2 linked regions of the Cricetulus griseus genome follow. The protein of the gene in region 1 interacts with the protein of each later gene in a pairwise test. Links are inferred from orthologs where the notes say so. Each region holds a gene or a part of one and is shown in the gene's direction. Other genes may lie near its edges.

Region 1 (4,276 bases):
TAGAGAAACCCTGTCTCAAAAAGAAAAAAAAAAAAAAAAAAAAACCAACAAGCCCTTCAAGGGCTGCAGAGATGGCCTAGTGGCTAAAAGCACTTGTACTTCCAAAGGACCTGGGTTCAAGTCCCAGGACCCCACATGGCAGCTCTGGTTATAGGAGATTCAATATGCCTTCTGGCCTCCCTCCATAAGCACCAAGGATATATGCAATGCACATATATACAGGCACAATATGCCTACTTAAAAATAGTAATAAAGTTAAATGCCCTTCCACTGGCTTGGAATAGGACTCTATAGTAGAGCACTTGCCTGGTGTAGGCAAAACCCTACAACTGCTCCCTGCACTAGGAAAAAAGCCCAATGAACACTAGACCCATTGCTAGGAGCTCTTTAAAATGTAGTTCAGTTTGAAGGGAAGCAAGTCCAAATAGCAAGGTGGGGAGCCAGGCCCCAAATCAGAGCAAATGTGGTGGGGTCTGCTATACCTATCTCCTTCTCCTCCCAGGTGGGCCTGGGCCTGGGCTACTTGGAGCTTCCCCAGATCAACTACAAGCTGTCAGTGGAACATAAAAAACGGCCCAAGGTGGAACTAATGCCAGGAATGAGACTGGTGAGTTGGTAGGAGGCGTGCACGGGTTCTGTCTCCTATGTTGGCCAGGTGTTGACCTCCAGCCCCTTGTCCTACAGCTGCAGAGCCTGCTGGACACACGATGTGTGTACATCCTGGACTGCTGGTCTGATGTATTCATCTGGCTTGGCCGCAAGTCCCCAAGACTAGTGCGTGCTGCTGCACTCAAACTAGGTCAGGAGCTGTGTGGGATGCTGCACCGGCCACGCCATGCAGTGGTCAGCCGCAGCCTGGAAGGCACCGAGGCTCAGGTATACCCCCACACCCAGAGGCTTGCTTTCCATTGCACACTCTGCTGGCCTACTGGCACTACTGTGCTGCAAAGGTGGGTCCAAATCCACCTTGTTTGCAGAACCATCCACTCTGTAGCCTGTCTCCACTTCTTTTGCTAGGCTCCACCTTTCCAGGCTGTTTCCAGCTCTTGTTTAGACCCCACCCAGTTGACCTCTGACCAGCTTTTCCAAACCTTGCTTGAATCCCTCAGCCCCAACCTTAACTTTGCAGTACCTCTCCCCAGTTATGGCATTATACCATTCTCCACAGGTGTTCAAGGCTAAGTTCAAAAATTGGGACGATGTGTTGACAGTAGACTACACTCGAAATGCAGAGGCTGTGCTGCAGGGCCAGGGGCTCTCTGGGAAAGTAAAGCGTGACACTGAGAAGAAAGACCAGATGAAGGCTGACCTCACTGCACTCTTCCTGCCACGGCAGCCACCAATGGCACTGGCTGAGGTGGGATGGAGCCTTTGTGAGGGGGAGGTGTGAGGGGTAAGGGGGCTTTGCTCAGCATGGTGTTGAGACCTCACCTGGGGATGGGGTGACAGGCAGAGCAACTGATGGAGGAATGGAATGAGGACCTGGATGGCATGGAAGGCTTCGTATTGGAGGGCAGGAAGTTCACTCGACTGCCGGAGGAAGAGTTTGGCCACTTCTACACACAGGACTGCTATGTCTTCCTCTGCAGGTGCCATAATAATACTTTACCCTCTTGTCCTCTTCCCTATGCAACCCCTGCTCACCATTGTCTAAATCACAGGTACTGGGTGCCTGTGGAGTATGAGGAGGAAGAGAAGACGGAAGTCAAGGAGGGGAAGGCCTCGGTCCAGGGCACAGAAGGGGAGGAAGCAGAAGCTGAGGCAGAGGAGAAGCAGCCAGAGGAAGATTTTCAGTGCATCGTTTACTTCTGGCAGGGCCGGGAGGCCTCTAACATGGGCTGGCTCACCTTCACCTTCAGTCTTCAGAAGAAGTTTGAGAGCCTATTCCCTGGCAAGCTGGAGGTATGCCCTCCTACAAGCCCTGAGCTGTGCCCCATAGCCTATGGTTGGGATGGTAGTGTGATCAAACCAGACCTGAGGAGGCTTGACCCTTGAAAGGTAGGTAGGGTTTAGGAAACTACCCAGCACTTCCGATCCCCAGGTAGTACGTATGACACAGCAGCAGGAGAACCCCAAGTTCCTGTCCCATTTCAAAAGAAAGTTCATCATCCACCGGGGCAAGAGGAAGGCGGGCCAGGGTACTCTTCAGCCGAGCCTCTATCAGATCCGCACCAATGGCAGTGCCCTCTGCACCCGGTAGGTACCTAGAATGGGGAAAGGGCAGGATTCCATGATGGGGGTAACATTGCTGACCACCCCCTATTCCCTAGGTGCATCCAGATCAACACAGACTCCAGCCTTCTCAACTCTGAGTTCTGCTTCATCCTCAAGGTGAGGCTGTGGGCAGGACAGCAGAGCAGGGTGGTGGGCAAGAAATAATCTAGACCTAACCCAAGCCCTATGTACACCACAGGTCCCCTTTGAAAGTGAGGACAACCAAGGCATTGTGTATGCCTGGGTGGGCCGGGCATCAGACCCTGATGAAGCCAAGCTGGCAGAAGACATCCTCAACAGCATGTTTGATGCTTCCTACAGCAAACAGGTAACAGAGGTGGGGGCAGGCAGGAAGATGAGAGCAGAGGACAGTCCTGGCTAACACCCTTCTCCACAGGTCATCAATGAAGGTGAGGAGCCAGAGAACTTCTTCTGGGTAGGCATTGGTGCACAGAAACCCTATGATGATGATGCAGAGTACATGAAGCACACAAGGCTCTTCAGGTGAGTGCCCTGACCCCTCCTCTAGCTTCTTTAGTGCTGACACTTGCTTACCTTCACCTTAACCATTGCCCTTCAGGTGTTCCAATGAGAAGGGCTACTTCGCAGTGACTGAGAAATGCTCTGACTTTTGCCAAGATGACCTGGCAGATGATGACATCATGTTGCTAGACAATGGCCAGGAAGTAAGACATTCCCCCACCTCAGACCCTGCCCATTGGGTAAGGAGTTGTAGATGGAAACAGACGGTCCAGAGGGAAGCATTCCCACCAGCCGCATGCGGAGCACTTGAGTAGCATATACAAAGACCCCAGGTTCAGTTTTTAGCACTGTAAAACACCAAAAAGGCCAAGACACCCATGTGACCATTTCCTCCACTGTATCCTCAGGTCTACATGTGGGTTGGGACCCAGACAAGTCAAGTGGAGATCAAACTGAGTCTGAAGGCCTGCCAGGTAAGAAAGGGACAGCACTAAAGCCAGCCCATGACTTCAGGAACCACCTGCCCCCTCCCTCATCCTGGGCAGTCCAGCAGGACTCGGAGGACTACCTGGGCCCACTGTTTTCCTTACCAGGTATACATCCAGCACACACGCTCTAAAGAACATGAGCGGCCACGCCGCCTGCGCCTGGTCCGCAAAGGCAATGAACAGCGGGCTTTTACCCGCTGCTTCCATGCCTGGAGCACCTTCCGCCAAGCCCCAGCCTAAGCAGTTATCTATGACCTGAGACTCCAGTGAGGAAGAAGAGGCCTCCCAGCACATGTTTCAGCTACCCACCACTCTTGCCCACATCCTGCAAGCCCCACCAGCGTGTCCACATGTGTGCAGCAGACGTAGTTTAAAAGATATTAAATGCTTTTATTTTCAATATTAAAAAATCAGTACTTTTAATATTAAAACTAATTTTTAAAAAAAGACAGAAAGCCCAAGGTGGAGTCTACAGGGAAGCCCATCCTCACCACCCCACACACATGCACACACCCAACTGACTCCAGTTACGGTGCCTCGCAATTTCCAGTCACATGAGCATACACACAGGCCAGAAGCAAGTACCAAAACTGCTTTAGAAATTACTGGCCAGCGTAGTCCAGGCATTAGAAAAATACTCTGCTTGAGGAGAAATAAAGGACAGTATGGAGTGCAAGACAGAGGATCCTGGCACACTCCCTCCAGCTGACCTTCAAGCTGGGGGTGTCTTTAGGGCCCAGCATCAGTGAGACTGGATCCCACAGGTTAACAAGTGTGGGTTCAATGTTAAGGAGCTAGGCAAGGTGACAGTGAGCTGGGATAAGCAGATGGTGATGGCTAGGGAGAGCAAACCCAGGCCATACCAATCTGTGCAGGGCGGGCAGGCAGGCCCTTTAATGACAGCCTGAGGAAGGGCTTGCTGGGGATCTAGGAGGGAACCAAGTAACAGGATAGGAGTAGTATCTATGCCCAATGTAGGTTGCAGAGGCACTAGCTACCAAGGTCCAGATAGCTCCAGGTTCCAGCTAGGTTGGGTCCATAGCAGGATATGGTAGGCACATAAGCTCCATGTGCTGGCTCAACAGGCAGGA
Region 2 (3,814 bases), on another chromosome or scaffold:
CCACACACCTCCTTGTCTTAAGGAGAAGATAGATCACTGCTAGCTACTTTTCCTGCTGCTGCTACAAAATGCCATGACAAAGGCAACTTAAAGGAGAAGTGGTTTATTTTGGTTCACAGATGAAGGATATAGTCTATCATGGAAGGGAGTCCTGGGGGCAAGAACGAGAGGGAGCTGGTCACGTTGCCTGTGTAGTCCACAAGCAGAGTCATGAGGGCTGGCTGGTGTTCCCTTTCTTATTTCTATGCAAGGCTCAGGGATGGCCCAGTTCAGGGATGGCCCACATTTAGGGTGGGCCTTCCCGCCTCAGTTAATCTAGTTAACATAATTCCCCACAGGCAAGCCACAGGCTACAGTTGCTCTCCCCCCACAGCGGAAAAATTACTTATCTGAGTGGAAGGGACATTGAAAGGTGGGCTCTGTGCATTTAAAATGGCACTGTGTCTCTTCTAATCTAAGAAACAAAGGCTGAGATTGGAAAAGAACTCTGGCTTAATCTCAGCTTGTTTTCCTTTTTGCGGTTTTGAAATGATGGCCTCATTTCTTCAGGACTCGCTGGCCGAAGTTGAGGAGAAGTACAAGAAGGCCATGGTCTCCAATGCCCAGCTAGACAACGAGAAGACCAACTTCATGTACCAGGTAGACACACTGAAGGACATGCTGCTGGAGCTGGAAGAGCAGCTGGCCGAGTCCCAGAGACAGTATGAGGAGAAGAACAAGGTAAGTACCACCCTGCTCAGGAATGCTAGGGGGAGCTGTGTAAATCCTTATATTTTTTAAGGATTTTTATTTTTGCTAACTATGGGGGAGGGGTGTACACTAGCTTGCAGAGGCCAGAGGAGGGTGTAGGATCCCCTAGAGCTGGAGTTACAGGCAGTTGTGAGATGCTTGATGTGGGTGCTAAAAATTGAACCCCGGCTTTCTACATAAGCAGTATATGCACTTAACTGCTGAGCTGTCTCTCCAAACTGCTTTTTAAACAGTGATTCTCCACTTGTCCAGGAAGCCCAGAGTCCGAGATTTAGAATACTGTGTCTTTGTCATACGTGGTGGCAATAGCTATGATTCCAGCATGTAGGAGGCTGAGGCAGGAGAATTGCAAGTCTGAGACTGACTTAACAGGACTCCATTGCCAAACAAAACAATCCCATGGGCAGGGGAGGTAACTTACTCTGCAAAGCATTTGCTGCATCAGACCTTAGGTCAGTCCTCAGCATCTGTGGTGGCATGTGCTTGTAATCCCAGCTGGAGAGGCAGAGACAGGTGGTCTCTGGTGCTTACTGAGTAGCCAGACTAACTGAATCAGCCAGCTTCTGACCAGAAGAAACCCTTTCTCAAAAACCAAGGTCAGGGCTGGAAAGATGGCCCAGTGCAGAGGAGTGCATGCTGTCTGGGGTGGGGGGGGGGGGCATGTTTGGTTCCCAGCACTCTTGTGGCTCTCCAATACCTGTAACAATAGCTCCAGGGATCTGATGGCTGTGGCCTCTGTGGGCATCTGCACATATGTGCAAAGACCCATACACATATACATAAGTAAGAATAATAAAATCAATCTTAAAAAGAAAAACAAAACTCAAGGATGACAGCTCCTGAAGAATGACACCCAAGGTAAACTTCTGGCTTCCACAAACCTATGCACACACACATTTACATATATACATATAAAACTCAGACATCTGTGCTTTTCTCTGAATAATTTGAAATGCATAGTTTCAATGTGTAAACTAGAGAGTTTTACTAGAATGTTGGTATTTTGCATGAAAATAAAACAACCATGAAAAAGCATGTATATAGCGGCTCGGTGGTGGTGCACGCCTTTAATCTCAGCACTCAGGGAGCTGAGGCCGGCGAATCTCTGTGAGTTTGAGGCCAACCTAGGTGCTGGGATTAAAGGCGTGTGCCACCACCACCTGGCTCCTGGAACACATCTTATCAAGAGAGGTTTGGGAAATACTTGTCAACTGCACACAATCTGAGGATTAACTTTAGAGGAAACTGTCTGATCGTCCTCTATGGAGGGCAGAGAAATGAGTTTGTGTCGTGTGCCCCTTGGAAATGGTGATGACGTAGTAAAGGGTTGTTTGTCGTGTGGGAAACGTGGCTCATGAGAACATGAACCTGTGACAGAAACACGCCACTGAACCGCAGCCTCAGTACTGTGCTCGTCACCCACAGGAGTTCGAGAGGGAGAAGCATGCCCACAGCATCCTGCAGTTCCAGTTTGCCGAAGTAAAAGAAGCCCTGAGGCAAAGGGAAGAGATGCTTGAGGTGGGCAGCTCCTTTCTTCTTCCCTTTCTGTCGGTTCCTTGCTCTTTTAGCCCAGGTTATTATAACAAATATACCACAAACTTGGTGGCCTTGACAACAAGTGTGTATTTCCTCACAGTTCTGGAGACCAAAGTCCAGGTCGGTGTTGACTCCTTGGGCACAGAGAATGTATGCTTTCAATATGGACACTCATCCTATCCAACCTGGGACCCACCCTCATGACGTCATTTAACCTTTATGCTTCTGAAGATACTATCTCCAAACACTTGTCACCTTGGAGGCCAGGGAGTCAGCTCGTAGCAATCCCTAAAGTTAAAGTCCAGGGATCAGGCTAACTTTCCATCCCTTGAGCAGAGGGTTCCTCCTGTGGGTGAAGACTCTCAACTCTGGTGTTCATGTGTGTGTGTTGGGAGGTGTGACAAATTAATGCCCACCTCTGAGAAGTCCACATCCTAAGTCCCTTAAAGTAAATATGGGACAAAAGGAGATTTCAAAGGTGAGTCAAACGGACCTTGAGATGGAAGGTTGTCGTTGATCATCTGTGTGGCTCTGACACAATCACAAGGTACCCACGAGAGGGAGTCGCGTCAGATGCTGTGGTAGGAGCAGTCGAGGTTAGAACTTGTGAAGAAGAAACACAAAGCAAGAATGTGTGCAAGGCTTAAGACGGTGGTTCTCAACCTGTGGATCACCACCATCAAAAAGCACATCGTCTCTGATGATCTTGGGAACCCCCAACCATAAACTTACCTTCGTTGCTACTTCATAACTGAGATTTGATGCTGGGTGGTGTCTCAGTTCCTAAGACCATCAGAAATCTGTGTTTTCCCATGGTCATGACCCCCAGGTTGAGAACGGATGTTCTAGGAACTGGGAAAGAAAAGGTTATTGATCCTCTCCTCAGAAGATTCTTTCAAAACAGTCTCAGAGCTGAGAGAATATAGTCACGTGACTTTCGCGGAAGCTGTTGTCACTTGTTACGAGGAAACTGGCAGGAGTGTGTGCCACATAGCATTCTGATCAGCAGTGCGACACACATATGACAGTGGCCCCATAGATTTTATTACATAGTGATATTGCAGTCATCACTATTATCCGTAATTTATGATGTTTGCAAAATGGTGGGCTCAACTACCTACACTTTCTCAGACTGATGTCCTACAATTAAGCAAAGCATGACAGTATGGGGCTGGTACAGGGTTGGTAACTTAATCGGGACTATAAGTATGGCTTTGAGGTAAGCTGTCAGCCAGGCTGGTTTTCTTCTGGGCACTGAGAGTAGAACAAAAAAAAAAAGAAGAAGAAGAAGATCCTATCATGCTGCTGAATCCTGGGGGTGGTGAGACCTCCCCACCCACCCGTCCCTCACCATGGTCGTGGTCATCCAGCACCGAATTCTTCTCTCTGCTCAACCCTTTGTCTGCTTTCTTTCTGTCTGTTCCTCTCCTCAGGAGATCCGACAGCTGCAGCAGAAACAGGCGGGTTTTATCAGGGAGATCTCTGATCTTCAGGAAACGATAGAGTGGAAAGACAAAAAGATAGGGGT

The links.
Region 2: the proteins of Flii (region 1) and Lrrfip1 interact in binary tests that used the Homo sapiens proteins (3 or more experiments, as listed by UniProt). The link is inferred for Cricetulus griseus from reciprocal best matches to the Homo sapiens genes FLII and LRRFIP1.

The regions. Positions count from the first base shown.
Region 1 is NC_048600.1:74,709,954-74,714,229, reverse strand, and holds the end of Flii (protein flightless-1 homolog), read left to right. Parts: intron 1-502; coding exon 503-607; intron 608-684; coding exon 685-876; intron 877-1,168; coding exon 1,169-1,357; intron 1,358-1,449; coding exon 1,450-1,589; intron 1,590-1,661; coding exon 1,662-1,902; intron 1,903-2,041; coding exon 2,042-2,196; intron 2,197-2,270; coding exon 2,271-2,331; intron 2,332-2,413; coding exon 2,414-2,542; intron 2,543-2,611; coding exon 2,612-2,718; intron 2,719-2,794; coding exon 2,795-2,900; intron 2,901-3,104; coding exon 3,105-3,170; intron 3,171-3,290; coding exon 3,291-3,425; 3' UTR 3,426-3,608; downstream 3,609-4,276. UniProt on the Homo sapiens protein: Is a regulator of actin polymerization, required for proper myofibril organization and regulation of the length of sarcomeric thin filaments. It also plays a role in the assembly of cardiomyocyte cell adhesion complexes.
Region 2 is NC_048595.1:442,611,856-442,615,669, forward strand, and holds part of Lrrfip1 (leucine-rich repeat flightless-interacting protein 1), read left to right. Parts: intron 1-549; coding exon 550-720; intron 721-2,175; coding exon 2,176-2,268; intron 2,269-3,623; exon of another isoform or gene 3,624-3,638; coding exon of another isoform or gene 3,639-3,812; intron 3,813-3,814.